4 linked regions of the Xenopus tropicalis genome follow. The protein of the gene in region 4 interacts with the protein of the main gene of each other region in a biochemical or structural test. Links are inferred from orthologs where the notes say so. Each region holds a gene or a part of one and is shown on either strand. Other genes may lie near its edges. The genes, in order: kpnb1, nutf2, ogt and nup62.

What was found.
Region 1: the proteins of nup62 (region 4) and kpnb1 form a complex in vitro, tested with the Homo sapiens proteins (2 studies listed by BioGRID). The link is inferred for Xenopus tropicalis from reciprocal best matches to the Homo sapiens genes NUP62 and KPNB1.
Region 2: the proteins of nup62 (region 4) and nutf2 form a complex in vitro, tested with the Homo sapiens proteins (3 studies listed by BioGRID). The link is inferred for Xenopus tropicalis from reciprocal best matches to the Homo sapiens genes NUP62 and NUTF2.
Region 3: of the proteins of nup62 (region 4) and ogt, one has a biochemical effect on the other in vitro, tested with the Homo sapiens proteins (2 studies listed by BioGRID). The link is inferred for Xenopus tropicalis from reciprocal best matches to the Homo sapiens genes NUP62 and OGT.

What each region holds. Positions count from the first base shown.
Region 1 is NC_030686.2:10,822,272-10,830,066, forward strand, and holds part of kpnb1 (importin subunit beta-1), read right to left. Parts: intron 7,698-7,795; coding exon 7,473-7,697; intron 6,294-7,472; coding exon 6,102-6,293; intron 5,995-6,101; coding exon 5,864-5,994; intron 5,521-5,863; coding exon 5,373-5,520; intron 5,281-5,372; coding exon 5,209-5,280; intron 2,743-5,208; coding exon 2,598-2,742; intron 2,139-2,597; coding exon 2,056-2,138; intron 1,647-2,055; coding exon 1,539-1,646; intron 1,349-1,538; coding exon 1,205-1,348; intron 991-1,204; coding exon of another isoform or gene 985-990; exon of another isoform or gene 970-984; intron 951-969; coding exon 845-950; intron 578-844; coding exon 463-577; intron 1-462.
Region 2 is NC_030680.2:41,284,445-41,292,691, reverse strand, and holds the start of nutf2 (nuclear transport factor 2), read left to right. Parts: upstream 1-3,376; 5' UTR 3,377-3,402; intron 3,403-8,247. UniProt on the Homo sapiens protein: Mediates the import of GDP-bound RAN from the cytoplasm into the nucleus which is essential for the function of RAN in cargo receptor-mediated nucleocytoplasmic transport.
Region 3 is NC_030684.2:44,079,754-44,087,548, forward strand, and holds part of ogt (UDP-N-acetylglucosamine--peptide N-acetylglucosaminyltransferase 110 kDa subunit), read right to left. Parts: intron 2,346-7,795; coding exon of another isoform or gene 2,316-2,345; coding exon 2,165-2,315; intron 988-2,164; coding exon 744-987; intron 316-743; coding exon 247-315; intron 1-246. UniProt on the Homo sapiens protein: Catalyzes the transfer of a single N-acetylglucosamine from UDP-GlcNAc to a serine or threonine residue in cytoplasmic and nuclear proteins resulting in their modification with a beta-linked N-acetylglucosamine (O-GlcNAc).
Region 4 is NC_030684.2:38,700,179-38,707,973, reverse strand, and holds part of nup62 (nucleoporin-62 C-terminal-like protein), read right to left. Parts: intron 7,504-7,795; coding exon 7,419-7,503; intron 7,307-7,418; coding exon 7,162-7,306; intron 7,046-7,161; coding exon 6,996-7,045; intron 5,890-6,995; coding exon 5,755-5,889; intron 4,491-5,754; coding exon 4,379-4,490; intron 3,936-4,378; coding exon 3,869-3,935; intron 1-3,868. UniProt on the Homo sapiens protein: Essential component of the nuclear pore complex. The N-terminal is probably involved in nucleocytoplasmic transport.

The sequences.
Region 1 (7,795 bases), on a different chromosome or scaffold from region 4:
CAGCTTACAGGGGGCTTTATTTGGTAGTAAATCTTGTTTTTATTCAACCAAAACTTGCCATCAAGTCAGGAATTCAAAAATAACTCCCTGGGTTTGGGGGCACTGAGAGCAACATCCAAGGGGTTGGTGAGCAACATGTTACCCCCGAGCCACTGGTTGGGGATCACTGTTCAAGACCAATTCTAACGTTCAAAGAATTGTACAGCTTGTGTTTCAAAGCATTCTACTAAAGAAATGGCAAGAATGAAAGTCTGGCGTACAGGTCAGTTGATGGAAATATTAATGCAGATGCTTTTAAAAAAAGATCTGGTAACCTTGTCAAAGGGTGACCTGCCTGTGTTATGGTCAATTTAAGGAAAAATGGTAACTCATTCCAAAGCATCCTATAAACCAATGGGGTGAAGCACCATTTAATACAATGACCTCTATGTGCATGCAAGTAGTAAATAGATCGCCACTTACCCTATAAGACCAGCTCCACAGGCCACCACACTATCTGTATGATCCTCGTCACCCGCGATGTGATCGATAAATGACAGGATAAATTCTACACGGGGCTGCACCAACATCACATCGGCTGCAAGAGAGGTTACCATGACCTCTTATGCCATACACAGCACAAGAACATACAAAGCTGTGCCCCTGCATAACCCTTGACAAAAACAAAATGACCATAACTTTCTTTTTATGCCCAACATTGGGCCAGTGATCCTTAGCTAACATGAATGTCACAATCTGGACAATGGCAGGCAATAATATATTCACCTTTTATAATTAAAATTTTCAGTTCAACTCCTCGGATGATGACTTGACAGTAGACAAGAGTCTGCTAGGAAATACTTACGGTGGACATTTTCTTGGTCTCCCTTGAGCCCCTGGATTATTCCTGTATATGCTTCTAAGCAGCCCTCTCGAAGCTCATTTAGATAATCCACCATATCGTAATCTGACTGCAGGGGAAGAGACACAGAGGGTTGGGGAGAGTCACTCCTCGAACCCATAACAGACACAGTTTTAAAAAGTTATGGTGTGGAGGAAGCCAAAAATACAGGGAGGAAAAGTCTCAACTCTGTTCCCTAGATTATTCAACCAACAAGGCAGCTCAGGAATATGTTACATATAGCCGCTGCTTGTCTTGCTGCTCTAGATTGTGGAAATAATTCCTGCTGGTAAGGCCCTTTCGTGGAACAATGCTGCTGCTTACCTTGTCTACCTGAGCTTGTGATGCTTGCTGCAGTGTATTAAGCACAACATCTAGGTATTTTTTGAACTCCCCTCCAATGGCCAGGGCAACGTCTCCAAATACAGAAAGGATCTGAGGCTTCACTGAGCGGTGAACATTTTCATTCTGGTAATATAACAGGAAACAATCTATTAAGCATTCTACAGCATGAAATAGCTTGCTATTCTCCAAGATGCAAAATAACCATAACCAGACTACACAAGTAAGGCATGGTGGTATCTTTCCTAGGCTTACACGTCCATAATAAAAAGAACTGCAATTGCTGTACACAATTCCTCTTTCACCAAATACTTACCCCTAAGTTCTCTAGCAGAAGCTGCATCATTTCGTCACAGAATGGCAAGATATTGGATTGTAGAGCACGGCACAGGTCACCAACAAGTCCTACTGCAGCTAGACACACCTGGGAAAAACAACAGGGTTTACAGAAGCCTATTCTTACACAAACGCAGGCAAACGTGCTACTTTCTACGCTATGTGGCAGAAATGCAAATAAACAAAAGGGAACTCTAAAACTTCCTACAGTCTGGAAGAAGTCTTCAGAAATTCATAATCAACAGAACATTTCTGTGTGGTGCATGAACTTGTCATCCAGAGACTCTCCAGCAACTAGACGTTTCTAGGGCTTTTTTGTACACTAAGAACACTGCAAAACGACTGGGGTATTTAATATGCCATTTAATCTCCATTTAGATTACAATCACATGGGGGAGTCCTAATAGATTAAAAATTGGCTTAGCATTTTCCAGAATCTACAACCTGCCAGTGCGGGCCAAGGTGGGAGAGTTTGGCAAACAGGAATGTCATCTTACCTGATACTCTGCATAATTTTTAAGTCCAATGCCAAGGAATGGTTTAAATGCTTCCATGTACTTGAGGAATTCTGCTCCAAGCACTATAAAACAGGAATGCAAACCCCATACTTAATGAAAAATAAGTAACATGTCATTATGGCATCTATGTGACATAATTGTTCAAGATGACATTCTCCACTAGCCACTGTTGGCATCAGTAATGAGATTTATACCAACATAAACTCCACAGTTAGTATTGTTGTTGGTATATATATAGTTTATGTATGCGAGTGTATAGATATAGGTCTGTATAGGTTTGTGGGTGCTGGGTTTACTTGGAAGGGTTGAACTTGATGGACTCTGGTCGTCTTTTCAACCCTATGTAACTATAGGACAAAACCAGGGCAATAAATGAAACAGTGGTTTGTAATAGTATGCAATTACGACTACACTTTACTTTGTGACAACCACTGCATTCATATTGATTTCTATTTGTGCCAAACTTTGCAAACATCAATCTTACACATAGGTTGTACTGCAACCACATCAGGCACCATTACCTTCCACTAGGGTGCTGACTGCCATGAGGGCATCTTCCTGTACTCCCCCAGAACCTGCAGTGCTCTGGAACATGCGGAGCAATGAGGCCATCACAACATCAGATATCTGTAGGGCATCCTGGTGTTGCACCTTCCTCAGCACATTCTAGAGAAAACCATAATAGGATATACAGATTAAGAAAGTATAAAAACAATTCTGATACATAAAAACAAGTATAAGAGGTTTCTCTTGCCACATGGATGCATTTTCTTGCTTGCCGGAAAGCACTTGCTTAACACAGGTAGGGGAAGTTCATATTCAAGGGCTGAGACATGGCAGTAGCCACCATAATGAAATCAATAATTTCATGTTACATTGTTGGAACTTCATGTTCACGATGAGCCACTGCCCAGAGCTTCACAGACAACATGAACAAACTGCTGATTAGTCTCGTTTCTTTGCGCAATTATTATTTTCAAGACAACTGCTCTATATTGTAAAGTCTTTGTATTGTCAAAAGTTCCAGAAGGTATTATAACAACTGCACATACAGTGCACAATGTGTGACAGAAGCACCCCTATATTTTGCACATAGATAATATGACCACCAAATATGTAGGATAGTTTGTTTCCTTACCACAACTCCATTAAAGTTTAGTGTACAAGCCAAATGGTCAAACCTGGAGGGGTTATGCATCCAAGTGGGAAATGGGGTGTGTTAAGAAACTGTAAATACCGTATACTGGTTTTAGTGTTGTACCATATATTCAAGGTAATTTGTATAAAGGAAAAGTACAATCATTGGGGGTTACCAAAATGTGTACACTGGACTGTTGCAGTTTTCTACTAATGAGCACCGGCCTGGGATACCTGGTAAGTGATTGTACCTTTCCTTGTACTTTATGATACCAGCGCAATGACTGCAGTTTACTGCACAAAAATGTTCAGTTTGCTTCCATATTTCCTCATAATTTATTAGGATATGGGAGTCTTTCAGGATTTATAGGAGTCTTTGGATAAGCGTATTGCAGTTTATGGTGTTTGTGGGCCCATTTAAAACTAGTCAGGGTCTTCACTCTGTAAAACGCTGTGGGATTTATACAGGTAGGGGCTGGGAGCAATAGAGGTTGCATGATAGCAACACCTTTTAAAATCAGGGCTTGATTTGTGCTCACAAGGATCGACAGTTCCACTTAGACTGAGTCACCATGTAAGATCTTGCTGCAGTACTGCAGGCAGCTTGCATTTCAGTGTGGGTTTCAAGTTGTCAAATGAAGCCGCCAGGGAACATAACAGTGCAGATAACATACTCCCCTTAAAGAAACAGTAACACCAAAAAAATATATCAAAGTGTTTAAAAGTATTAAAATATAACATACGGTTTCCCTGCACTGGTAAAACTGGCTTTTTACCAGTATGAAAATACTGCTGTGCAGCCATAGGGGAAGATATTCAACCTGCAAAAGTGGGTTTATATTTCTGCACAAGGCCTAAATCTATTGTATCATACAGAGCTTATCTGCTATGTAGCCTGTGCCATTTAGCCCTATTTCAGCTTGAATAGCTGCCCCATGGCTATAAATCAGCTTATTCATATAATCTATAGAAGTGTTTAAGCAAACGTACAACTACCAGTACAGGAAATAGACACCCTATATTTGAATTCATTTTCAAATTTTTTCATTTTTTGATGTTAATGTTTCTTTAAATTTTATATTCGCTGTGAAAATACTGGAGACCTAAAGTCGTCTTGTCCCAGGCATGTACTAAAAGGTTGCAGCCTTCAATAATTATACAGGTATAGGAAAAATCTATGATCTTGAATGCTTGGGATCGGCTTTCCAGATAAGGAATATTATATATTGGATAACCCATTCCTTAAGCCTGCTAAAAAAAAAAAAAAAACATTTAAACATTACATAAACCCAATAGGATTGCATTGACACCAATATGGATTGACGCAGCTCAGTTAGGATTAAGCACAAAGTGCTGTTTTATTACTCCAGAAAAAAAATAATTTAGAAATTAGATTTGGGGCATGTCAACCCCAAAAATAATGTTTTGCATAATGAAAGAAAACATAATTCTAAGCAACTTTCCAATATGAAATAATTAAATATTTGTAGCGCTTTTAAACGTTATTTGTAAATGTAATTGCTATTGAAAGCAGCATTTGCTGAGCTCCTGGTTGTTACATTTTAAACAATGTTGCAAAGGTCTTGCTTCTCCAGCAATACAGATCTGTCAGTCTGCTGCCTTGTGTTACAATGTTTCAACAGTCTGAGCCCCCAGGGCAGAGAATAGAAAAGGACAGGCAAACACTGCTTCTAATAGCAATTATAAATACAAATAACCCAAAAACCATTACAAACTTGTAATAAATGTATATTGCAAAGCTGCTTAGAGTTTTGGTTTCTTTTATTAGGCAAAAAATTATATTTTGAGTTGCCTTGTCCTATAAAATGGACTCCATGGGAAATGGACTTTTCAAATTCAGAGGTTTCTAGATAAAAGGGATCCAAAACCTGTATTTGTAATACACTTTGTCAAGAGGTTGAGAAATGTAAAGTTAGTTATGAATATTTAAACCACCCAGTAACTTTCGAATTCTTACATTATAACAGTCCTTACCTGAAGGGTAGCACATAGCAGGGACTGCAAGTCATTGAACTGGATTCTATCCGAAGTGCTCTGTATGTGGGACTGTGGAAAGAAAAGGAGGGTGGAATATATAAGAGCTCTACTGGCTACAAAACACAAACTAGTCTCACGCAGCAGATGCTTTCAACTCCTACCTCCATCTGAAGTACTTGCTGTAGCCTCTCCATTATTACTAGGGTGGTTTTCTGTACTGCGGGGTAGCAGTCCTTGGCACTGTTCTTAACTATCTCCATTAGAGCTTCATAGGCAGCACTTCGCAGGTTGTTTTGATGTCCATCAGGCCTGCAATTTAAAGACTGATTAATATGCTGTTACAACTTAAAATGAAATCCATTAGCCTCATCACTTTAGGGCCACTACATCGGACAGGATCTAAGATTTTGGTTACATATAAATATGCTGAGCTTTTTTGGTGCCTTCAGAGAGTCATAATCAACACAGCTGGTTCTGCGTGGTGCATGAACTTATCATCCTTAGACAACCGCAAGTACATCCTATACTGTAAGGGAGTGTGGTGTAAAGGACTTGTAAACACTATATAGCTTCATTCATAATATCAGAGGGCCTGCATTTTTCAAATCAGCACAATTAAGAATTTAAGGCACATAATAGAGCTACACCTCACCTGTCTGTCGTCTCAAGCAGTTTCTGTACAATCACTTCAAACGAAGAGGACAGGCAGTATGAAGATGGCTCCTCCTGGTCATCAGTTACATCAGCGGCTTCATAAGCAGCCTCAGCTAAACTGGAGAAAGCCTGAAAGAGCAAAAATTCAAATTCTCTCAATTCAAACATCTATTATTACACAGCATTAATATTTCCACACATGCTTAAACAAGCACATAGCAACACTTTGGTCTTACCCAGCAGACATTTGATGCCACCCTAGGTTCTGCTCCAAGACCTTCAATGAGGCACTGAAGAAGAGGTGCCAAATATACATCATTGATGGCTGCTTCAGGTAACAGCTCACATATTCGCCCCACTGTCCAGGCCGTAGTGTCTCTCACAACTACACTGGGGTCCTTCATTAGCTCAATCAGTGTAGGCATTGCCTGTTGAAAACAAATCAGCCAAGTTTTACACCTCCCCAACCTGAAGACCATTCGCTTGAAAAAAAGCCAATGCCAACTCAGTGGAAAACTTAAACTTTAGATTTAACAATTGGATTTATAAAACAGTATAAGCTGTGTAATTACTACAGGTTTCAAAACCCTGAGTGAGATATGCAAACTTGAAGAACTGAATGGAAAAGTGGAGCTACATCAGTCAGCGGTTGTTTGCTTTAAGCTTAGCCAACACACTAAAAGAATATTACTTCTCTCCAATGTAGGATGAATCAGACATTTATTATAGAGGCACACATTATATAATGTGTGTATGCATAAATATATAATAAATGTGTACAAATATTTGCTAATGCCCCAATATATAATCAAATATTAACATCTGGTATGCAGTTAATATATATCAATTTGTATGTATTCATATCTATTGTTTTACACAGAGTATATGGGTAATGTAAGCTTAGTAGAGAACCAGTTGTCCAGGAAGCTTACACTCAATACCGCTCACACCCAAGTCAGTTTTCCATATCAAATGGATTCCTGTGACTGGTAGTCTAAATGTTTGTGGGTTACAGTTATCAAAAATCTCATTACTGTATGCAATACCTTTGAACAATGGGCAATTTTTTTTTATCATTCCCCATCTGAGCAGTTGGGATGTTAGCTGTTGCTGAAAAAAGTGTGCATTAGACAGTAGTGGGGGGGGGAAGCAGCTTGTAAGGAGACAGAGGAGCCTGTGACAAGATGTGAGGAATGCAGACCAGAGGTGCTGAAGGACAGAGGGAAGCCATGATGGGAAGAATGAAGCTGACCTCCATACTATTACTTTGGTGGTAATCATGTATACACTAAATAATCGGTAACTACATTTAGTGTGAATATTGGTAAAGTGTAACTAATCATTAAATTGAAAGGATCATTTGACTTATTACTCAACAGGTTCCTTTAAATATACACTTATTGTGGGGGGAGATTGTCTGCTTTTTCCCCCAAAAGAACCATAATAATAATAATAATATATAAAATTTTACAGTATTCAGTTATTTTGTCACAATGTCTTCAGAGAGTCATAATCAACACAGAGTTATTCTGTGTGGTGCATGAACTGGTCATCCTTAGACAGAAAAAAAACATTTTTGTAACTGGCTGGGAAGAAGTCTGAATTACCTGAATAACAAGAGGCTTCAGCTGACATGACTCTGGCCCTTCCAGAATGCAGCCAAACGCCATGACTGCTGCATCTCTGTAACGCCAGTCTGGATTTTTAATGTGCTCCTTGATAAATGGCAGCACGTGAGGGACAATGTCATCCTCACAGCAGGTTGCTAAAAGCATAAGACACACTCCAGCAGCCTTACAAGGGTTCCAGTCATCGTCATCATCATTTTCATCCTAAAAAAAACAAAAAAAAAAAAAATGGACAAGCTCAAAAACCAGACAAAACGATGTATTTTCATTTTAGTTACAAAGTAAGGAATCAATATTAGTCG
Region 2 (8,247 bases), on a different chromosome or scaffold from region 4:
TGTAGCCATGGAGGCAGCCATTCAAAGGAGAAAAGGCACAGGCACATAGCAGATAACAGATAAAACACTATTGTATTCTACAGAGCTTATCTGTTATCTGCTATGTAACCTGTGCCTTTTCTCCTTTTTTCCAGCTTGAATGGCTGCCCCCGTGGCTACACAGCAGGTTATTATATAAATTATAATAGTGTTACTGTAGCAAACACACCAGTTTTACCAGTGCAGGGCAACAGTGCATTATATTTTTATTACTTTAAAGCTCTTTTATTTTTTGGTGTTACTGTTCCTTTAATAGTGAGCACCGGGCGTTGAAGTTTTTTGGAGAGCCTGGGTGTGCGGGAACGATCTCTTTTGTGTACTAAGGGTGAAGAGACACAGAGCTACTTACTAGCAGCTATTTGTTGTGGCTACTAAACGCCAGAAAATACCCTGCCACAGACAACACTGAGAATTGCCTCTGTTAAAACACATGTAGAGACAATTATCAACAAATGATCAACACTGTCTTTTTTAGTAGCCACAAAAAGTAGCTGCTACTAGTAGCTCCGTGTGTCTTTACCCTAAGGTGGCAGTGGCACACGGGGTGATTAGTCGCCCGCGATAAATATTAACTACCGCGGGCGACTAATCTTCCCAACATGCCATCCCACCGGCAATAATGTAAATCGCCGGTGGGATGGCATACATTTCGCTTCGATTTCCCAAATTCGCCCGAGGTTTCCTTGCGGGGCAACTTCGGCCAACTGAAGCAATGCGAATGCCATCCCACCGGCGATATACACTCTTGACAGTGGCATGGCATTTCAGGGAGATTAGTCGGCCTTGGTTATTAAGATTTATCGCGGGTGACCAATCTCTGGGCCCCAAAAGCCAATCGTATACCCATTTTGATTTGTAGTCCTCAGATACATTTTTTGAGTTTATTTTATTTAAAAGCAGTCAACTCCTGTTTGTATTTATCCACTACAGTCTTAAATTTGTCCAGCCAATCAGTCGTATTATCAGCCTTTAGGAACTCTAGGTATTGTACCTCCAGTTGCCCAATCTCACCTCTAACTCCAGTTCTTGCCCACTTGTTCCAAAACTAGGGGGCACATTCATGAAAACGCGAGTTCGAATCCTGAATGGGATAACTTCGGATTGGATCCAAAAATTTCTGAAGATCACCAATATCACGAATATGTTTACGAAAAAATCGTATTAGTCACGAAAATATCGTGTTGGCGATCTGAAAATCACAAAATTTTTGTTTTGAATGATCGTAAAATGCAGGAAAACCTTTCCGACTTTGATCCTTCTGTGCATGATTTTGAAAGCCTCCCATAGGAATCAATGGCACTCTGCAGCTCCAACCTTGTCCAAGGAAAGTCACGATAACGAAGCTTGAATGAATCCGAAACTTTCGTACTCGGCGTGACAATACGATTTTGTCGTGCAAATTTTTTTGCAAAGTACGAAAAAGTCATGAAAAATACAAAAAAGTCGCACAAGGTACGAAACTGTTGCAATAAATACAAAATAAATATGAAAAAAACATGTTCAGATGCATTCGGAGCGTTCGTGGGGATATTGGTGATTCTAAATCCCCAAGGCATAAGCCTCTGCCTATGGTAATTAGAAAGGAAAATACCATGTAATTGTAAATCAAGTTCTCTCTTTTTAAATTTCAGCTTATCAATCAGTTTATGATACTCATCAATTATGGGATTACTCACGGCCAAAGGAGTCTCTGTAAATAGAATCCTATCTGCATTTATGGTAGAAAAGCCAAAATCCTGATGTGTCCACGTCAATAGTAAATTGTGATGCACTGTCCTCCATACTCCAGTCGCTGTATCTACACACCCTTTTTCCTCACCATCTGCTGGCCCAGTTGCTGAATACCAAGTATCCTCAGCACTCCAGTTGATAAGCCACCAAGTTCCATTAACAAACTCTCATTATCATGACAATGAAGACTCAAAACTAAAGCTGCTAGGCCACCCCAGTCCTGGTGTACCATAAATGCTGAGTGCAATCTCAGGATAGCCCAGTGGTCCCCAACCAGTGGCTTGTAAGCAACATGTTGCTCCCCAACCCCTTGAATGTTGCTCCCAGTGGTCTGAAAGCAGGTTCTTAATTTTTAATTCCTGGCCTGGACTTTAGTTGTAGTTGCATAAAAATAAGGTGTACTGAGAAACAGAACCTCCTGTAGGCTGCCAGACCACATAGGGGCTACCAAATAACCAAGCACATCCCATATTTGGTACCCCCAGGTACGTTTTTCATGCATGCACTGCTCCCCAACTCTTTTTATATTTGATAGTAGGTCACAGGTAAAAAAGGTTGGGCACCCCTGGTCTAGCCTAATACACAGAGGAAAAGAAAAGCACACCTAGGGGCAGATTTATTAAAGTACGATTTTCGTATTGTTAAAAAGTACGATTGGAACTACGAAAATTTCTGATGTGCGATACGATTTTGTTGCACAAATTGACGCAAAGCACGAAAAAGTTGCGTAATTTAACGAAAATATTGTGGAAATTATGTATAGTATTTTTCCCATTCTGACCCATGCGTACTTTGATACATGTGCCCCCTAAAGTCAATTCTAATACCTGGGTGCCAGTGCAAGAATTAAAATATAATAAGTCCGAGTGATGGCACTCCACAGGAATATACACAGAGGATAAATCAAGCAAATATAAGGTTTATTTAATCCAATGTTTTGGTTCCACACAGAAACCTTAATCAGGGAAACCAATATATATGGCTGGGCATATCGGTTTGCTTGAATGTCTTGAACCAAAACTACAACATATAAATAAATGCTTATTTATTTTTCATAACTTTTCTTAAGGTCTCCTTGCTTACACACTGGACTTGCATGTATAAAGGTAGGACGTGGGCTGCCTATAATACATACCTACATCTAACTCTGTATATGGATTTATGTGTATGATAGGCAGATAGATTAATACACAGTTGTGAGGTATTATTTGAGCAGTGGGTCCATTCAATTAATTAATTCTAATATAAATGCTAATCAAGATCTCTAAAGGGCTAATTACCACAGTCCGATACTGTAAATACCTAAAGAATGTGTAACACTTGTTTGGGTCCCTACAAATGCATATACTTTACTGCACAGATAAAAAATGTTCACATTAATACAATTACCGATTAACACTGCAGGTTGGTATATCATACCTACTACAGCAACATGAAACATAACACGTTATACTCATAAATAAGGCGATTCTAGAACTTCTGACGTTCCCAGGTAAAACTACATTTCCCAGCAGCCGCGGAGTTCCGGTCCCGCCCATTGTAGGAGGGGCTTGTCACGCGGGAGGGCGGTGGCGGCGGGAGTTGTTGGAAGCTTGGGGACAGTACAGTGTAGAACACAGCATTTGGTGTGGGGTGAGTTTTTAATCTCCATATATGTTTTAGGGGGCATTTTAGTTTGATAGCGTTTAGCGCTGTGCATGAGTGTTTTTTAGTATCTGACCTTATTTGACGCAAAGGGCCGTATAAACTTGGCATGACTGAGATGTGGGCCTGGACTGGGGTGGGTGGTGGCCTAAGGCTTGCACTTATACATTTTGCCTACTAGTTTCGTGCACAGAGTATGATTTGGCATTTGCTATTTGTACCAGTCAGTAAAACAGTAAACTGAATTACTTGGTGCTTAATATCGGTTATAAATCTTTCTATACCCCTTATATATGGGCCTGCTCTCCCACCCTCGTTTTTCAAGTACTGGCATAACAAGCGCAACATAACTTACATATAGATAACTGAGTATGTATATCTGATATGTATATACGTGTGTATGCGTAGTTATAGATATACATTCATATTATACATATATAATAAGCAGGATAATTGGGGAGGATCCCCACCCACCCACTGTGGAATGAGAATACTCAGCACTTTCACTGTTCAGTTATATTTATAGCACTTTGACTGCATTTGCCATGTGACTCGTCTATATGAAAGTTAAAGGGGAAGCTCAAGTAAACTTTAGTATGTTATAGACATATTCTTATGAAGTTTTAAAATGGTCATCATTTATAGCTTTTCATGGTTTTCTGACTAATAGTTTGTCTATTCTGTTTATTTCTGGCCTAGAACTGAACATACTTGTTTTTTAAAGTTTTTGGACAACAAGCAACCAGAACTAGACTGTAGGGCATCTATTGGGGGGCCTTTTACATTACATGGGCTTCTATTTCTATTTGGTCCCTCTGCTATTTATCTTCCATTCCAACTTTCCGTCTGGTGCCATTTTGCAAGGCAATTAAACCCTATGAATGAGACAGTAGTTAAAATGATAATCTGGACAAAAAATGTAAAAAAAAATTAAGAATTTTACAAATTTTTAGAATTTAATGGTCTACTTTTATACTAGAAGTTCATTTTAAAGGGGCAGTATACACCTATGTAGACAATTTTTCCCCATGTGAGCAAAATAGGCATGGCCATCTCCCACAGAGTATATTTTAAAGGAGAAGGAAAGTCTCAGTCACTTGTGGGGTGCCAAAATGTTAGGCATCCCCCAGTATTGTATTCACTCACCTGATTCCCCAGGCAGGTTCTCCTGTTAGCAGAAAACTGCAGTGGCCTGAGGCATGTGCGTAGAGTGAAAGAACTATCAAAGTTTGGCTTTTCACTCTACTGCGCATGCACAAGTGTCACCAAGAAAGGACAGGTCTCACTCTCTGGTACCTTGGGCTGGTGCAGTTTTTGGCTAATGGGAGCACCAACAGATCACAGGAGACTAATCTTTTAGTGTGCCATCAGCCTAAGTTCTACTGGTCCAGTAATATACAGCCAGTTTGGCAACCTTGCTCATAACATTTTGTAGTAATTTTTGTTGTAGGACACCACAATATTTGATATAATCTCTTTCTTTATTTTGCTTGGTTCTATCAACCCAGTGTCTTGATAGCTGGAGTGTAATTCATAAAATGCAGTCTAATCTCTATTGTACATACCCACATCTTGAGTTTTTGCACATTTTATCTTTGTGGTCCTACCACCTTAAAATATATTTAAATTGCTACATTTCTTAGTTTTTACACATTTTCCCCACTTATTACCACAAAATTTTGTTTACCTAAAAAGGCCTTTGTCCTCTGTAAATGTTTTAGTTGATTTGGAATTCAGTATTTACAGGATTAGGATTTTAGCTAACTTGCATCTTCTATGACTATTAACAAATCAGTTATTGTATTAGGTTGTGCCTCTGACGTTCAGAGTGGTTTTGGAAATGCAGTTCCACAGAGTCAAATTAATGCTGCACTGTGTAAACACCTTAACATTACCACAGTAAAGTATTGTTTCAAAGAAAAAAATGACTCCTGTGAATATATCTCTTGAATAATTGAGGCTTGTGTTGCTTGAACACATTTCCATTACTTTTACATGTTATTTTGGATTTTACAACATTTTTTATGGTCCACAGAAAAAATAAAAATAGTGATCTACGTTTTTTTCTTTAAAATCTGTCCTTTTAATAAATATTTGTATATGACTGTAGGTGTTAAGATTGTTAAATGACTTCTATCTTGCAAAAATAAAAAGTTTAGTCTACTGGAAATGTGGGCTAATAAAGCCTGAACTCTAGTTTGGGAAAACAAAAGTATTGCAAGCACAAGGCACCCACACCAGGAGGGGCTTCTGGTATGGACAACCATGTTTGATGTACATCAATGTACATAATAATTTAGTGCCCCAGCAATGTGTGTGTTGAGGGATTAGGGCACATACCCGCATACATCCACATAATGAGCGAGTTGGAGCCTTTTCTTATGTGGAAATATGTGCACCAACTGTGTATCACTTATTAAATTCCCCAACATCTCCTGACAGGCCTAATTAGAGTTAGCTGTCTAAAGGTGGCCATACACAGCTCGATAAAAGCTGCCAACGGGGTTAGCATCTTATTGGCTTGTTTATTGCCCGCCTTGGGAAAGATCCACTTGTTTGTTGACCCCGCCAAACGAGCAGATCTGTCATTGTTTAAGAGCCCTGAAGTGTGTAGTCTGCTGCAAAACAGGCTGTACTGCTACAAAATAAAAGCCATATTTCTTGCTGTTGAAATAAATATTTTGCAGGGACCTGCTATATCTCCATACAGCTAAACCTTACTAATAGGCAATGGATACCTTTGCTACATTGAATAATAACATAATTGATAAAATAAGAAAAATTAAGAAACCAGAGGTTAAAACACAAAGTTCAGTGTAAAAATGAAGCTGGGTAAAACAGACTGCACAAAATAAAAAATATTTCTAATATAATTAACTGTAATCTATAAAGGCTGGAGTGAGCAGATGTCTAATGTAAGACATCTGGTCACTCCAGCCTTTATAGATAACATTTTTGCCTAACTATATTAAAAACACTTTTTATTTTGCGCAGTCTATCTATTTTACCTAGTTTAATTTTTACACCAAACTGTTCTTTTAAAACACTACAACTAAGGGCAAAGAACATGGGTAAGAAATCACTGATTATTGGGCAGAGACTTGACTAGCAGAGTTCCCGAGAGAATTGGTGTAATAGGTACCCATTATACAGAAAGTTTTGAATTACGGAATGTCTGTCTCCCATAGACTCCATTTTAATCAAATAATTCAGATTTTTAAAATTGATTTCCCTTTTCCCTGTATAATAAAACAGTACCTTGTACTTGATCCCAACTAAGGTATAATTAATCCTTACTGGCGCCAAAACAATCTGGAATAACCTTGAGTCCTATACCTGTACACTGAGGTCTGTTCCCCAAAACAGAACTTCAGAACTCATGGCCAGGATCCATTTTGGATCCTCATCCCCAACAAGACATATAATTAAACAAATAAAACAACTTTGGGGAACCATTATTTCTTATTTTGCTTGTTTCTCTGACAAAATGCAAAGTAAGGCCATGTACTCTAAAAATGTCTCCAAAGCATTAGTTTATAGAACCAGTGTTTACAGATAAGGAGGAAACAATTTAAGTGAACAGTAACTCCCTTTTTTAACATTAATTTAATCAATAGGGCTTGGTGCTTAACAAACAATTTGCCTGTTTTGCCATTTTGGGCCAATCACTGTTCCATATAGCTGCTGATAACTTAGGATCTGCTTCTCTCCACCTGATTAAAAACCGCAGGCGTAGGGAAGTGTTTGATATGCAATGTGTGCCCTTGCCCTTAAGGTGGACATATATGGGCCGATTCTAGCATCCAATAACGTTCCTGTAGACCATTTCGGAAACTTATCGGCCCGTGTATGTACACCAACAATGGGCCTGCCCGACCAACATCTGGCCTGAAATCGGCCAGATCTCGATTGGGTAGGTTTTATTGTAGGTGGGGATATTGGGAGGTCGTCAAGCGAGCGGATCTTAGCGTGTATGGCCACCTTTAAGGCTGCTCTCAGCCTGCATTTTTTTAGGCAGGCAGAAAGAAGCGAATCCGCTTACTTTCCCAGCTTCGTGTATCTGCGCTGACAAGTACAGCTGCCGTCTGAGTGCAGGTATGTCGAGCAGAGATCGGACTAAAAAATGCAACGGCAGGCCTTTTCGTGCCAATCTCAGCTCAATACCTGCACTCAAGCAGAAGCTGTACTTGTCAGTGCAGATACACAAAGCTGTGGAAGTGGGAGCTAACACTCTGTGTGCCTTTGACCTTAGAGTTCTTGAATCTAGATCGGTTAGAATTGTCAACAGTATTTAAAGATCTGGGCTTGTGTTGTTAGACTCATAAACTCATATTTATATGTTCAGCTACCTTTTTAGTTTTGTTTGTGTTAAATCAGTCAAATCCTATTTTTCTCTGTCTATGACAGAGGACAAGGAAAGTGTAAAATACAGATGCGTTGCCAACCGTAGTGACTAAATCACTGACCTTAAATCCTAGGCCTGTACTGAAAAATTCACTGGACCACTGTATCCCTATTAAACATACTTCTAAGTTGAACTGTGAACTAACAAGCCATCACCCCCAATAACATCTTCTATTTATTTGCCAGTAGTTCTAAACTAGAGCCAAAAGTGTAAGGTCCAGGGTGTTCTCAAATGCTCTGTACACTTAATTGTATGGCATCATCATTCTGATTTATTTCAGCCCTTGAACATTCTGTATCAGAAATAATCACCCGCTACATGTAATATGTTGGAAATCACTGTTCTTGCATATCTCCGGCATATCAAACCAAAAAACACAAAGGCTAATGGGAATTTAATTAACTAACTCCCACACTCTTAATTTAGCA
Region 3 (7,795 bases), about 5.4 Mb from region 4:
TTAGTAAACCAAGGATAGGACTGATGCCTTTAAAAATAGTAAAAGTTTAAGAAACCAGATGAACAACTCCTCAAACCTGAGGTGTTGTGTAACCAAACGATACTCCTCGGATCATGCGTTTCATGTACAGCTCCATTTGATTAACATGTTACTGTATACACTAGTTATAAAGCTTTAAGGCAAAGCAAAGGTTTTGCAACACTGGAATTGGCATGTACATTGATTATCAATATACTGAAAACCTACCTTAGCTTCTTCTAAGCGACCTAGGGCTTTAAGAAGATTACCCAGGTCACTACGGACACAGTACAAGTCCTGTCGAAAAGGTAAAAGAGAAAGACAAAAATAGGATTAAAATACAGAAACACATTTAACACTCACAATGGACAAAAGCAGCATAAAGTATGTTAAGGTTTGGAAGCAAATGTTTGCTTAGGCTAACCCTTTATAGGGTCTGAGGGTACTTCAACACTATCACATTCGATTAATCTCTTCCCACTGAACCAACTATATACCCTATTTGCTATATACCCTTGCCCCCACACAAAAAAAAAAAAAAACAGAATTCACCACATTGGAATAGGTATTGGAGCAACATAGGGGTGGGTTTCAACTGAATGACATAAGGCTGCTGTAGCTTGTCATACAATTCCATGCTGTCCTAGGATCCCATTTGTATGTGGACTTTCAAGAATTCATTTATAAGTGGTACTGTCCATTTAAACATACAAAGAATAACTTACAGGGTTGTACTGAAGAGCAGACACATAAGCTTGTACTGCGCCCTCCATATCACCAGCTGCTACCAAAGCCGCAGCAAGATTAATATATCCATCAATGAAGTCTGGTTTTAGCCTCAGAGCATGCCGATAATGTTCAATAGCTTCCTGAAGTTGTCCTCGCTCTTTATAAACATTGCCCAAGTTCGAATAGGCTTCTGCAAGAAGGGGGTTCTGCTTAATAGCCAACGTGCTGAAATGGGCAGACCTATTAAAAAAAAAAGTACCAAAACTTACTTTAAATCATATTTTGTTGTATTACCTAATTTTAAACATAAAGCAAGCTGAACCTCGGGGCTGTCCAACTGGCGGCACGCAGCCCCCCCCCCCCCATGTGCCCCCCTGTCTGGATGCTGTAATTGCTTAGCTATGTGTAAGCTTTAAATGGCAACAGTACTGAGATGAATTGCCCCCTGCATTGTTCACACCTCAGATTCAGGCTGTAAACAACTTTAAACCCTGTGTTGTTTACATCTTTTAGTTCCTCCATTGTTCACAGCTCAGGCAAAGACTGTACACGCCCACATTGCTTACACCGCAGACTGTAGGAGCCGTGCCAGCCTTGTGTCACTGTATGTACGGCCTGTGTGTGCCATACTCTGCCTGCCATACCCTTCCTGTATGTGGCATACTGCCTGCCCTATGCTGCTTGTGTGCGCCATACTGTGCCTAACCTATGCTGCCTGTTTGCTAAACTCTGCCTGCGTGTGCCATACTCTGCCTGCCCTACGCTGCCTGTGTGTACCATACTCTTCCTGCCCTATGCTGCCTATGTGTGCCATACTCTGCCTGCCCTATGCTGCCTGTGTGTGCCATACTCTCCCTACCCCATGCTGCCCGTGTGCCCCATACTCTGCCTACCCTATGCTGCCCGTGTGTGCCATTCTCTGCCACCCTATGCTGCCAGTGTGTGCCATTCTATGCCTGTCCCTGTCTGCAGGGTTTTGTTCTGGGAGTTTGTTCGCATTTGGAAATAGTCCTTGTATGGTCCCTAAAGTGTGTGATTATGTGTTGGGTAGTGGTCAAAACTGGCTTCCATTATCAATCCAGCCCTCGGTATCACGGCAAAAATGAGTGAGAACTAACTATGTTGTATATAGAAGGGTCTCAGCTCAAATACTATAGAACCTAGTACCATTTGTTATTACATTCTGGGTGGAAAAGTAACTACAATAATATTAACTTAAGGAAGTACAAAACTACTTGCACAGAGTTAAAACAACAAATAATTGGATATGATTTAATGCCGAGGCCGTTAAACAGTTTCTGTCATTCATTTGAGGATTTGGTTAAGAATATAGCTAAACCTTTCATGAGGAATAACACAAATTGTGTCAGGCTGGCAATATCTGAATAGAATTACATTCACAAAAAGGGTTTCTTACCTGTCAAGCCTACGGCACTGGAAATGTATAGATGACAGCAACAACAAAACTCCAGTATTATCAGGTTCCTGTCTCCAGAGCTGCATGCAGTGTCTTTCAGCTGCTTCAAAGTCTCCAGCCTGGTACTCTCGATGAGCCAACTCCGCTAACCCTTGGAAGGAAAGCATACGTTTCGTTGGTTCTAGAGAATCATCAAAACATTTAGGGGGGGAAAAAAATTAGAAAATGGAAATAAAAAGAACAGAAAAAATGTGAATGATAAAAAAAAAAAAAAAGAAAAAAAAAAAAAAAGATGAAAAACTTCCCAAAAAATTTTTTGTATGAGCATGAAATCATGTTGCATACAGAGAAAGGCTCACATTACCTATAGTCTGTAGTTTGCAAACTTCTTTGTGGGTTGGCATTATTTCAAAGAATAAATATTGTGAAAAAATAACATCCAGGAAATAATGAAATGTACAGGATAAAAGCAAGGTATCACATACCAGGTTGCATTGTTTCAAAGAATAAAATATTGTGAAAAGAGAACAAATTCAAGAAATTACAAAATGTGAAGGATAACGGCAAGGTATCAGATCCCCGAAAGACACAAAGCATACAATACACACTTAATACTCTACAGTTCTGCACACACTTTATTTTACTTTCTTTGTCCTTTATTTCAAGCAGTGAAAGTATTTTCCAATCACATCTTAAACGGGACATATTGGATAAATGGGGAAACCCTAATTTTGTAGGCAATTATGAATAATATAAAGGTGCTGGTTTCACTTTGTGCTAAACATTAATCCTATCTGTAAAAATGGCCCCTTTATTGGAGCTCCCTATAGATCCTATCTCTTCTCCCTCCGAGTTTGAAATGGAGAGTGGGCGTGTCCTAACAGTCCCTGCCAGAAGCACAGTAGGAGGAGGATAGCCAATCACAGCCCTGCACGCCCACAAGCAAAGACAGGCTTCAGTTCCCTATCAGGTCAGCCTAGCTGCTGATTGGTTCCTATCTTATAGTGCAGTGTACGGAGGGCCGCCGGCTCCCCAGCTCATCCAGAGAATTCAGCCAGCAGGAAGTGGAACTGATGGGTGGGACTAGTGGAATTTCTCAATAAATCAGTCTGAAATACTTTAAGCACATTCCTTCTATATCTAGGAGGAGTATAATTCTCTGGTACATTCTTAATTTTTATAGGATATGTCTCCTTTAATGGCATATCATATATAACCAGAGATAATATAAAACCTGTCAACATAAATCCTGCCCCCATTTTGGACAACCAAGCCAATAACCCATGCCTTGCTAGCATTCACTTATTACTTATATATTACACGTGTATTCACAATAGACTTTTTACCCTTCTTTAGTCTGAATATGCACATTAGGTTTTGGATTCAGTTCAGTATTCGGCCAAATCTTTTGTGGAAGATTCAGTGTTCCCCAGAATTATAAAAGTATGAATCTGGTTTGTCCCTAGATCAAACTTGACAAATACAAATACCTGTTTTACAAAGTAACAAATTCTACGCGGAAATGTTATTTGTGGCGTTAGTTCAGAGCACTGCAGCCATTATGTTTTAATGTAGCTCAAAACTAAGATAAAGCACTTGGGTCAAATTTAAAGCCTGCTGACAAACAATTGAAGCTTTGGCAAACGTCCATATACCTGCAGGAAATCAATCCCCGAAAAATGCAAAGTACCACTGGAAAGTCTCAGGTACAAAATATGAACATCTTTTAGGCCTTAAACTATAACCAGCTGAGAAAAACCATCTAACAGCCATCATGAATAACCAGAAGCAAACTTACCAGGAAGAGTGACAGTGTACACAGGGAGTACATGCTGGGGCACCTAAATAAATTTCCCCTGCCAAAGCTGTGCGTCAACAGGCCTTGCACTCCGTGAGGGGAAAACAATACAATTTCTGGCAAGAGCAACCCCCCTGTGGGCATATACCACTCTGCTGCTAATGGGTGGGCAGATTAGTCTTGGGTATATAAATAATTGTGACGCCCCAGCCCAGGTTGGGTTATGTTGGGCTAGGGCAGGTTAGGGTGACTACTGCAAGAAGCTGTGTCAATCATGGCAGACACAACCTTTGTCCAAGAATCATTTATTCTAAATGCGCCGGGAACAAGAAAGAATACACTCACCAGTTAAAAATTATATCTTCTTGAAGATATAAACCCAAAAATACCATCTGCCTAATAAAAGAATATTTTAATTCTAAGCAGCCTTCCAAGAATACAGAAATTTTAAAGCACATTAAAATTGCAATTAAAAGCAGTATTGTCTGTGCCTTTCTGAACTTCAGTGGCCCTTATAATGGAGCATCGTCTTCTCCCTTGCCTCTTTCTGTTGGGGTTCCTCAAGGCTCTGTTCTGGGCCCCTTACTATTTTCTCTATACCTCCTCACTTGGCAAATGAATCAATTTTTTTGGCTTTCAGTACCACCTCTATGCTGATGATACTCAGATCTATCTTTCCTCTCCTAATCTCAACCCAGAGCTTCTAACTCGCGTCTCTTCCTGCCTGTCCGCTGTCTCCACTTGGATGTTCAAACGTTACCTTAAATTAAACCTCTCTAAGACTGAATTGGTTCTCTTTCCCCCATCCAACGCCAAAATTGTTCCCGAGGTATCTATAACGGTTAACAATTCTACAATCATTCCATCTTCCCAGACCCAGTGCCTTGGGGTTATCCTTGATTCTGCCCTGTCCTTCACGCCTCATATCCAGTCACTTATCAAATCATGTCACTTTTACCTAAGAAATATTTCCAAAATATGATAATTTATCACCCAAGATTCTGCCAAAATTCTTATTCACTCTTATAATCTCTCGCCTGGACTACTGTAACTCCCTATTAATTGGCCTTCCCCTCCAAAGACTGTCCCCTCTCCAGTCCATAATGAATACTGCTGCCAGGCTCATACACCTCTCCAATGCCACTCTGCCAATCCCTGCATTACATTATTTCAATAGTCAAAACCAACAGTGTAGAGAAAATCAAAGTTTAGAGACACTGCTTTTATTAGCAACAACATCTACAAAAAGCTTTGACAATCATTTAAAGCATGTAACGTATTGTATTTATATTGTAAAGTTGCTTAGAATTATATATTCCTTTGGGAAAATTCTATGCTTTGGTTTATAACCGCTTTAAAGGAATAAATGTGCCATAAATTTTTAATGCAACGATTGCAGTGCAAGGGTAAAGGATATGTTTATCAAAGAGTGAATTTAGGGTTCCCCAGGTTCACCTGACTTTAAATGCATAGAGTTAATGCATGCTTGGCGCTGCAGTAAATGTTAACAGTATCCCTCTGGAGTCATAAGCGTGAGTGAATACATCCCATACTGAATCACTAGCCGAGATACAAAGAACTAACAGCATTACTATGAAAACACACTGCAAGCACATGTCATTCTGAGAAAAACATTATATTACTTCAACTTTTCATGATGTTCCTGGTGGTGAAAGCAGAAGTTAAAATTGAACAAATAACATAATCACAACAAAAAAACCCAACTCATACAACTGTTAAAAGGGCACCAATTTGTTATTCCTAGTGCAATATGTTTCCTCGCTATTGTAGCTCCAGTGCCCCCAGTATACACAACTACAGGAACATTGTTATCCCTATATGATGTTTTTCTCTTTACTGCCAAATCTCCAGTGAGCACAACACACACCCTGCCATGTCGCATGCAGATAAAAGAACACATACATAGGGCTGGGCGATATACCGTTTAATACCGAATACCGGTTGTTTTTTTTTTTTTTTAAACTATATTCATTTTTCAGATACCGCAATACCGGGGTGTCAGGGTAAACACCCGTGCTTCCCGGTCTCGCGCGCGTCCCGTTGTCCGCGGGACGGTGCGCGTGCGTCAAAGCGCACGTACATGTCAAAGCGCGCACGTACATGTCAAAGCGTGCACGTCCGCAAGGCGCTGATGGCGCCGGTTCTGCGCATGCGTGGGGGGTATTTAAAGCTATCAAACGCCTCCTCCTGTGCTATGTTGTCTGCGGCCTTGCCTGGGAAACTAAGCCTGCCTGATTTACCTTACGACTTTCTGTTGCCGATCCTTCGCTTGCCTGACTCTGATTTTCAATACTGCAGTAATTATTCTCTAATTTATTAGGAAATGGGGTAACACCTAATCATGCATGGAAAAAAAAAAAAAAATACCGTCATATAAATTTTTGGTCATACCGCCCAGCTCTACACATACACGTAATCAATGGCATAATGTGTATTTTCTCTTACTGCCATAACACCAGAGCCCCCAATACTCACCCTAGTAGTGACACACAGTTATGGGGACACAATGTATTCCTAGTATGACGTATGTTTCAGCACTGCCATAGCTCCAGTGCCCCCCAATACTCATCTTGCCAGGTTACATGAAGACACATATTGCTTTATCAATGACAATGTCTATTGCCTCTTACTGTCACAGCCCAATGGTTCCCATACTCATCTTGGAAGGTCATACGCAACTACAGGGACATACAAGTGTTACCAATGGCATGATGTATTTTTCCTCTTACTGCCAAACCTCCAGTGATCCAATACTCATACTGTCAGAACAGAAACAACTATAAGAATAAACGTGTTATCCAGAATATATTGTCTTTTTCCTCTTACTGTCACAGCCCCAGTGGTCCCAATACTTATCCTGGCAGGTCATACGCAACTACAGGGACATACAAATATAATCAACAGCATGATACATCTTTTCTCTCACTATCATGTCCCGTGCCCCCACCATATTCTCTCACAGAGGTCACACTTGCATTATCAATGGCATCACTTTTTTCTCAGTGTGCCCAATTCACATCTCGCCATGTCACGCAAGGTTTTGGGGCAAACATGTTCCCTCTGTCATAGCAACAGTGAAAGAAATCTTACTATCCAAGAAGTGTGCCTAACTGTTCCATTAACCTGGCCACCTTTTCACATACAAAGCCTTAAAGAAACCTTAACGCTAAGAAATGAAAATGTATCAAAGTAATAAAAACATAATGTACTGTTGCCCTGCACTGGTAAAAGTTGTATGTTTGCTTAAGAAACCCTATTATAATTTCTATAGTTATGTTGCTGTGTAGCCATGGGGGCAGCAGTTCAAGCTGGAAAAAGAAATGGAAAGGCACAGGCACATAGCATATAACAGATAAAACACCATTGTATTCTACAGAGCATATCTGTTATCTGCTATGTAACCTGTGCCCTTTCTCCTTTTTTCCAGCTTGAATGGCTGCCCCCATGGCTATACAGCAGGGTATTTATATAAACTATAGTAGGGTTTTTAAACCAACCAGGCCAGTGTTAGCAGTGCATGGCAATAGTACATTATTTATTAGTTTAAAACACGTTCATTTTTAGGTGTTACTGTTCCTTAACCCAGTCTTCCCTGCCAGGTGTCTATACATACAAATCTATCTATAGCCTATAATGTATGGCAACTCAGTATTTAGAGACTATTGAACTATGCAGCCTGCTATAGTACAAGTGTATTTTATGTTATAATGGGATAATAAATATCTCATAAATGAATGTATAACAACGATTAGGCTGTTTGGCAGAAAGCCCATTGTTGCTGTTAGTAGAATTACTGTTATAAACGTCTAAGG
Region 4 (7,795 bases):
CCCACAGCATTGTGCAAGCCCTGTTATTAACTACAGGTATGGGACCCGTTATCCAGAATGCTCGGGACCTGGGGTTTTCCGGATAAGGAAAATTTGGATCTCCATACCTTAAGTCTGCTAAAAATCATTTAACTATCGAAGAAACCCAATAGGATTGTTTGGCTTCCAATAAGGATTCATTATATCTTAGTTGGGATCAAGTACAAGGTACTGTTTTATTATTACAGAGAAAAGGGAATCATTTAACCATTAAATAAACCCAATAGGGCTGTTCTGCCCCCAATAAGGGGTAATTATATCTTAGTTGGGATCAAGTACAGGTACTGTTTTATTATTACAGAGAAAATTGAATCATTTAACCATTAAATAAACCCAATAGGGCTGTTCTGCCCCCAATAAGGGGTAATTATATCTTAGTTGGGATCAAGTACAGGTACTGTTTTATTATTACAGAGAAAAGGGAATCATTTAACCATTAAATAAACCCAATAGGGCTGTTCTGCCCCAATAAGGGGTAATTATATCTTAGTTGGGATCAAGTACAGGTACTGTTTTATTATTACAGAGAAAAGGGAATCATTTAACCATTAAATAAACCCAATAGGGCTGTTCTGCCCCCAATAAGGGGTAATTATATCTTAGTTGGGATCAAGTACAGGTACTGTTTTATTATTACAGAGAAAAGGGAATCATTTAACCATGAAATAAACCCAATAGGGCTGTTCTGCCCCCAATAAGGGGTAATTATATCTTAGTTGGGATCAAGTACAAGGTTCTGTTTTATTATTACAGAGAAAAAGGAAATCAGTTTTAAAAATAAGGATTATTTGCTTTTAATGGAGTCTATGGGCGATGGCCTTTCCGTAATTCGGACTTTTTGGATAATAGGTTTCTGAATAAGGAATCCCATACCTGTACCTGAAATAAAAGTGCATTTAATTGGTTGTTATACAAGGGAATGTGATATTTTGTTGAAGTTATTTGCTCTGGACAGAACAGGTTTTGTTCTTTAAAACTCACACTAACAATGATTAAATTGCTAACTAAGCCAAACCTCCTATTGAGCAAGAAAACTGGGTATCAATAAGCACTGTAGCCAACTTTCTGCCAATGATCAATTTCAATTGGCGATAGCCCAACATTCAAATGTTTCTTATCCGTTCAATTTTAGCTTTGCAAAAAAGCCAGTGTTTGGCGTGCAGGTTACCAAGCCTACCACTCCCACTGCTTTCCTAGTAACCTAGTAATTTAAGGTGCAAAAAAAACACATCCATCAAGTTCAACCTATTTTTTTCATGCGAACTCTGCTAGCTACTCCAAAAAGACAGTGAAAAACCCCATCTGAAGCCTCCTCAGAAGGGAAAAGTATTCCCTCCTCTGAGAAGCTAATTGGACCAGCCCAAGGATTAAAGGAACAGTAACACCAAAAAATTAAACAGTTTTAAAGGAAATTAAATATAATGTACTGTTGCCCTGCACTGGTAAAAGTTGTGTGTTTGCTACAGTAACTCTACTATAGTTTATATAAATAAGCTGCTGTGTAGCCCCAGGGGCAGCCATTCAAGCAGGAAAAAAAGGCACAGGTTACATAGCAGATAACGGATAAGCTCTGTAGAATACAATAGTGTTTTTTTCTGTTATCTGCTAAGTGCCTGTGCCTTTTCTCCTTTGAATGGCTGCCCCCATGGCTACACAGCGGCATTTGTTATATAAACCATAGTAGTGTTTCTGAGGCAAACACACCAGTTGTACCAGTGCAGGGCAACAGTACATTATATTAGAATTTATTTATACACTTGAATTTTTTGGTGTTACTGTTCCTTTAACATTGTTTTTCACTTTGTTTTTCACTGTTTTTCCCCAGCCCCTCTGAACCCAAGCACCAGGCAAACAACAGACAGTTCAGCATGTAGGGTCCTTGCGATTGATTAGTGTATTCACATTTCTAATAACTGAATCCCTTTTTATGAAAATTCACACCTTTCCTTCCTGTTACTTCTCCCCCTCCTGTAACAGAGAAGCTGCCCAACAAACATGAATTCCAGATTTTTTTTATATAAAAAAAAAAAGGATCCTGCAAGACTCAGGGTTTAATCAATTCTTAGCGCAATTCTTTCTTGGGGAGACTAACTCTTCAGCCCACAGTCTCCACAATAAAGAGTTACATTGAGAACCGATTAAGCCATGAGTTGTGTGGGCTCCTTTTTCCTGATGAAAGTCTATGCTTGAACTACACCCAGACAACCTCTCTCTCCTATACACAAGTGCCTGCGCTATCTGTATAGTATTTAAACATTAGGTTACTCAACATTCTGCTATTGCTGCAGTCCCTGTAGAAAAAGCTAGTAATGGCATGGCTGAGTGACTTGCTGTTGTTTCACACTCTTTTTCAAAATTTCTTTGCTGGCAGACACATTATTTACCAAATGTAACCTGCTTTGCACTGTAAGGTAATGCTTTGGACTACAAGTTCTTATTATGAATTGCTGGGTGAGTCACATTGTGCCTGTCATGACACACTGCACCTAGTGCTGGGCGGTATACCGGTATATACCGAACACCGGTTTTTTTAAAAAAGATGATAAAAAATTTTAACTTACCGGCATACCGGTGTGGGCGCCTCCTGGCAATTTTTCTTACTATTTCCGGGTTGTGCGCGCTGACGTTACGTGCGCGCTGACGTCACGCGCACGCTGACGTCACGCGCGCAACCCGGAAATAGTAAGAAAAATTGCCAGGAGGCTCTGTGAGCTGTCGGGGGTGCCTGCGGCTGCCTGGTCCGTAAGGTTTATTTATGTGAAGGGGATGGGGGGGTGTTTGGGGTTGGATGGGGGGTTGGATGGGGGGGTGTTTGGGGTTGGGGGGGGGGTGTTTGGGGTGGTCACGTAATCATGCATGGGGAAAAAAAAATACCGTCAAATACCGTGATACCGATATAATAAAAAAAATACCGTGATATAAATTTTTGGTCATACCGCCCAGCACTAACTGCACCAATAGTGAAATTCTGTGGGCCATGCTGTGCCTGTCGTGAAATTCTTAGGCCAACACCGTACCGTCTGTGAAATGCAAGTGGCTCATGCAAAGGTCCATTTACTTTTTTTTTTTTTAGTTGCCCATATGCTTTAAGATCACAAAATGAGTGGATCTTTCGCTGATAAGCTCACTTTAATCACCTTGATCATCTGGCCCAAGGATCAAACGATTGGATGACACTGACATGATATGGGCCATAGGGATAAGGACCACATCAATGCACCAATGCTATCAAGATCTGGCTGATTATCGTCTGGGATAATGGGACGACAAGCTGCCACCTTCAGTGTCCAGACCATTTTAACTATAAATATTGTCCTTCCTTATTTATACCTGTTTATTAAAACTATGAAACAAAATCCATGCTTGGTTATAGGTGACTGCAATTCACTTCAATGGCAGGCGACCCAAGGGGTGACAAAGATTTCTCCACAAGAGCAAACAAGTATTCCATGCACCTCAAGTACAACTGTAAACAAGCTGTGCACGGATACCCACACACAAAATTGCATAAAAGCAAGCCAATAAACTACATGTTTCAAAGAACAAAGTGTTCTATTAAATGCCAGATGTAGTCCTTCTACTTCCTTTTACTTTTTGATAAATAGTGTAAAGCATAGCGCTATTCAATATAAAAGAAAGCTACAGCCTTTCTTTCCTGAGCAATCTATGAAGAACAGTTTCCACACAGCATTTTCAGCTTTGACCCAGAACAGCATCATTACTATTCTGCACAGAACAGATCCGATTTAAAATAAACAAAAATGCTATTATTTTATGGTATGCTAGTTTCCAATACAAACTTTGCGCAAAGCCTCATTCTTCAACTCACCACTGTTCTGATCAATCCACTGTAAAGAGTCCATGTGGGCATTGAGAATCTTGCATATCTGCTGGAGCTGAAGAAATACAAATACAAATGAACACTCCAAAAGTTAAAAGGTGATAATGCTAAGAGAGGCCTGACAGTTATAAAGTAAAAGCAGCCAGCAATGCAGAGTTAGTAATTGGCAAAGATGTGAGTAACCACTGTAAAAAGATAGAAGCATTAGAGCAGGGATTCTCAAACTATGACCCGCGGGCCGGATCCTGACCCCCAGGTTAATTTACCCGGCCACCACTGTGTCCTCACCCCTGGCAGGGGAGAGAATGCAGGAGTCGGCCATAGTTTGTCGGGGGGTGGTGGTCTGGCCGATCAACAGTCTGAGGGACCATGAACTGGCCCCTTGCTTAAGAAGTTTGAGGACCCCTTTGATTAGAGTGATAAAGTATGATCCAAGAAAATGTAATAAGAGATAAATAAGAAACATGAAATCTCTTCCAGAGAAGAAAGAGTACTAACCGGGTTTCCAGCATCCCCTGGCCCAGCTGATGTGTTCAGATGCTCTATAACCTCCTTTAGATCCTGGGCCATGCGCTTCAGCTGGGCATCAATGTTTTCTGCCAGCTTGTACCTGAAAACACACCAAATGTTTCGTAATTTCAGGATTACTCTACAGGTTACATAAACCCAAAGATAGCAAAATGTGTGCAGCAATGTAAAAATGTACCTGCTTGCTAAAGCTTGACAAAAAGAAAAAGAATAAAAAACAGAAAACACACTAAATATATCTAGTTTCACAGAACATCAGTACTGATGATGTGAATTCTGTGACTGCACAGCATAAAAAAAAAATACCTATAGAAAAAGTGAACAAAATCTAAAGAATACAGAGTTAATTTACAGCTAGTGTTCTGATTTATGCTGCAAGTGAATTTAAAGAATTTATACAGGTTATACAGGTATGGTACCCATTATCTAAAATGCTTGGGACCTAGGGCTTTCCGGATAAGGCATCTCCATACCTTAAGTCTATTTAAAAATTATTTAAACATTAAAACCATTAGGATTGCTTTGCCTCCAATTAATTATATCTAAGTTGGGATCAAATACAAGGTACTGTTTTATTATTACAGAGAAAAAGAAAATCAATTTTAAAAATTAGATTTGCTAATAATGTTGGTAACAGATGGCGTTCCTGTAATTCAGAGCTTTCTGGCTTATGGGTTTCCGGATAACAGATCCCATACCTGTACTGGAAAGTTACATACAATTATTTTTTTTATTTCATTATGCAAACCATTATTTTTCGGTTAATATTCATTTTTTTCAGAACTTCCTATCCCTTCCTCGAGTATATAACAGGAATGTAAAAGCATAATTTCATCAAAAAGGTCTTACCTAAGGCACATCACATACACAAACATTATTTCAGAACCGAGAACTTGTTTTAAAATGATTAAGCTACACTTCACTATCCCCCTCTGAGCAGCCTTTCTTCATGCAGAGGATTTAAACGTTGGCAGCACACTCCAGGTTCATATATATATATATATATATGATTTCATGCAGAACCGACAGTTAGGTGAAATAAATTGGGGTGTCCTTCCTTTGCTTAAACAATATATTAGACCAAAGTGTATTTATAAATAACCAACTCAATGACACAACCCTGCATGGAGTGAGTAGTAAAGGGTAACATGAATGATATGCAATTTTTATTCTTGAGGGAAACATTCTGAATATGTATTATTCTTATTTCAGGAAGATATTCACAATTATTTGGCCCTAACCATGCCTTCCCTTTCTCATAACCAAAGCCTACTTGAGTATAATCACAAACCCAGATCTCCTTGTATCTTATACTTCTTAGTTATTACATTATAATACTGGCTCACGTTTTCTCTCTCTCTTCATCTGCATGCTGGAGGTAAATGGTTCCGCTCTGCTCTTTCACAGATTCCTCCAGAGGAGTCAGAAGGTCCTCCAGTTCTTTTTGCTGTGACAAGATGAAGTCCAGTTCCTGATCCAACCTGATAGAAGAGTAGAGAGGGTGAAACAGACCCAATAGCTTCCAAAGAGCAAGCTTAGCATGCAGGTGTACCTGTTTAATCACCATATATTTCTACACAGCCAGACAGAAAATGAAAATACACACAGCAAAAACAAGATTTTACTTTCTATTGAATTGTTTTTGTTTGTGGATTTTACATTACTTTAAACATTGCTTTTTCAATCTGTTCACATACTTGTTCTTGTGCCTGCTGTGAGGAAGATGATTGAACGTGATGGACATACATCTTTTTTTCAATCTAACTTACTATGTTACTATGAAATATACAGAAAATGACAACATATAAAAAGGACTTCCCCTTCCCTATGCAACCATGTCAACTGACTAAGGACAATACCAATACCCAATGATGGACATCTTGATCAGCAAAGGCATAAATCTTTTTAGATGAATCAGCCCCAGGAGCTTCAGCAAGAGGAGAGCTACTCTGCTGGTATTTAAAGGGTGTCTTGATAGGAAAAAATAAATAGGTGCATTGGAAAGGGGAAGTACTTTTAATATGTTTTAATTTCCTGTACCTTCTTCATGGCAGGGGAGATTAAACCTTTGGTACCCACTGCCACGTGGAAGGAACAGGAAACTACTTTTGCCCACTACAACTTTGGGATTTTTATCTTTACAAAACCCAAACTTTCAGCACTGCTTCTTAAGATGAGGCACCAGAAGTCCCCTATCTAGTTACACCAAGTTTGCATATGCGTTCAAAGATTGACAGGGCTCCAGCATTGATGCAAGTGTTGTTACTGATCCTCCCTCTCCTTTCCTAACATCCCACCCCCTGTCCCCTTTTCACTTTGAATTGCATGGATTGTGATTCCCAACTACTCATGTTTTATATTTCCTACTTTTTTTTTTTTGCTATGAAAAACTCAATCTATTTCTATAAATGAGAACATTAAAAATAGAACCAACTATTATTTAATAGGTTTATGCAATATTGTACATTTAAAACATTTGATTTTCAGCTCAGGTGTGCCTTTCTTACATATATTCAATCAATCAACCAAACATCATTCATCTTGGTCAAATTTTCTATGTTTTTGCCGTTTTACTTCCTACTCATACCTTTTCTGGTCCAGTTTAACTTTTTCCATTTCTCTGTGTAAAGTGGTGATCTGAAATCAGACAAAAAAATAAATAAAAATAAATTCTGCCTGTGAAAACATTATTGCACACACACAAAAACTGTTTACACTAAGCCACACAAGTGTTTTTTTCTCAGATTTCTCACCCGTTCTCCATTCTGCATAAGAGTTCTGTCCCATGCGTTGACCTGAGTTGCTTGTTGCAGAAAGTGTTTTTCTTGATCTTCCAATTCCAAACTCCACTTATTAATCAGATTTTCTAGCTGAGCATAAGTCATTGTTGCAGCAGTACTAAAAAGACAAACCATTATGTGGAAAAACACAAATCAAAATATCAGTCAACCAGAGAAATAAAATTAATGACTGCTATGCTGATAATGGTATCATTTGTGACACCTCTTACCCGACTCCTGCAGCTGCAGCAGAACTGACAACATTAGCCTGAACTGTGGTTCCAGAAAGTGGAGTTCTCATACCAAGAGAGGCTGCTGAAAATAAGGACAGAAGTCTCTAGATGAGAACCAGCAACTATTTTATGCATGAAGAAAGACTTCAACTATACTATAATCTATTTTCCTAAAGAAAAGCCATAGCATTGGACTAAAGATTTGGTTTATTCGGCTGATCAGTCTAATAATTTATTGCGAACAAGTGCCTACAAACATAGGCAGTATCACACATGCAAACTTTTATTTTGCACATAAAACAACCATAACTTCATGCAAAGGAGAGAGGTACCACAGTGCTCCATGGTCACTGAGCTCCTAATGAGTATTGTGC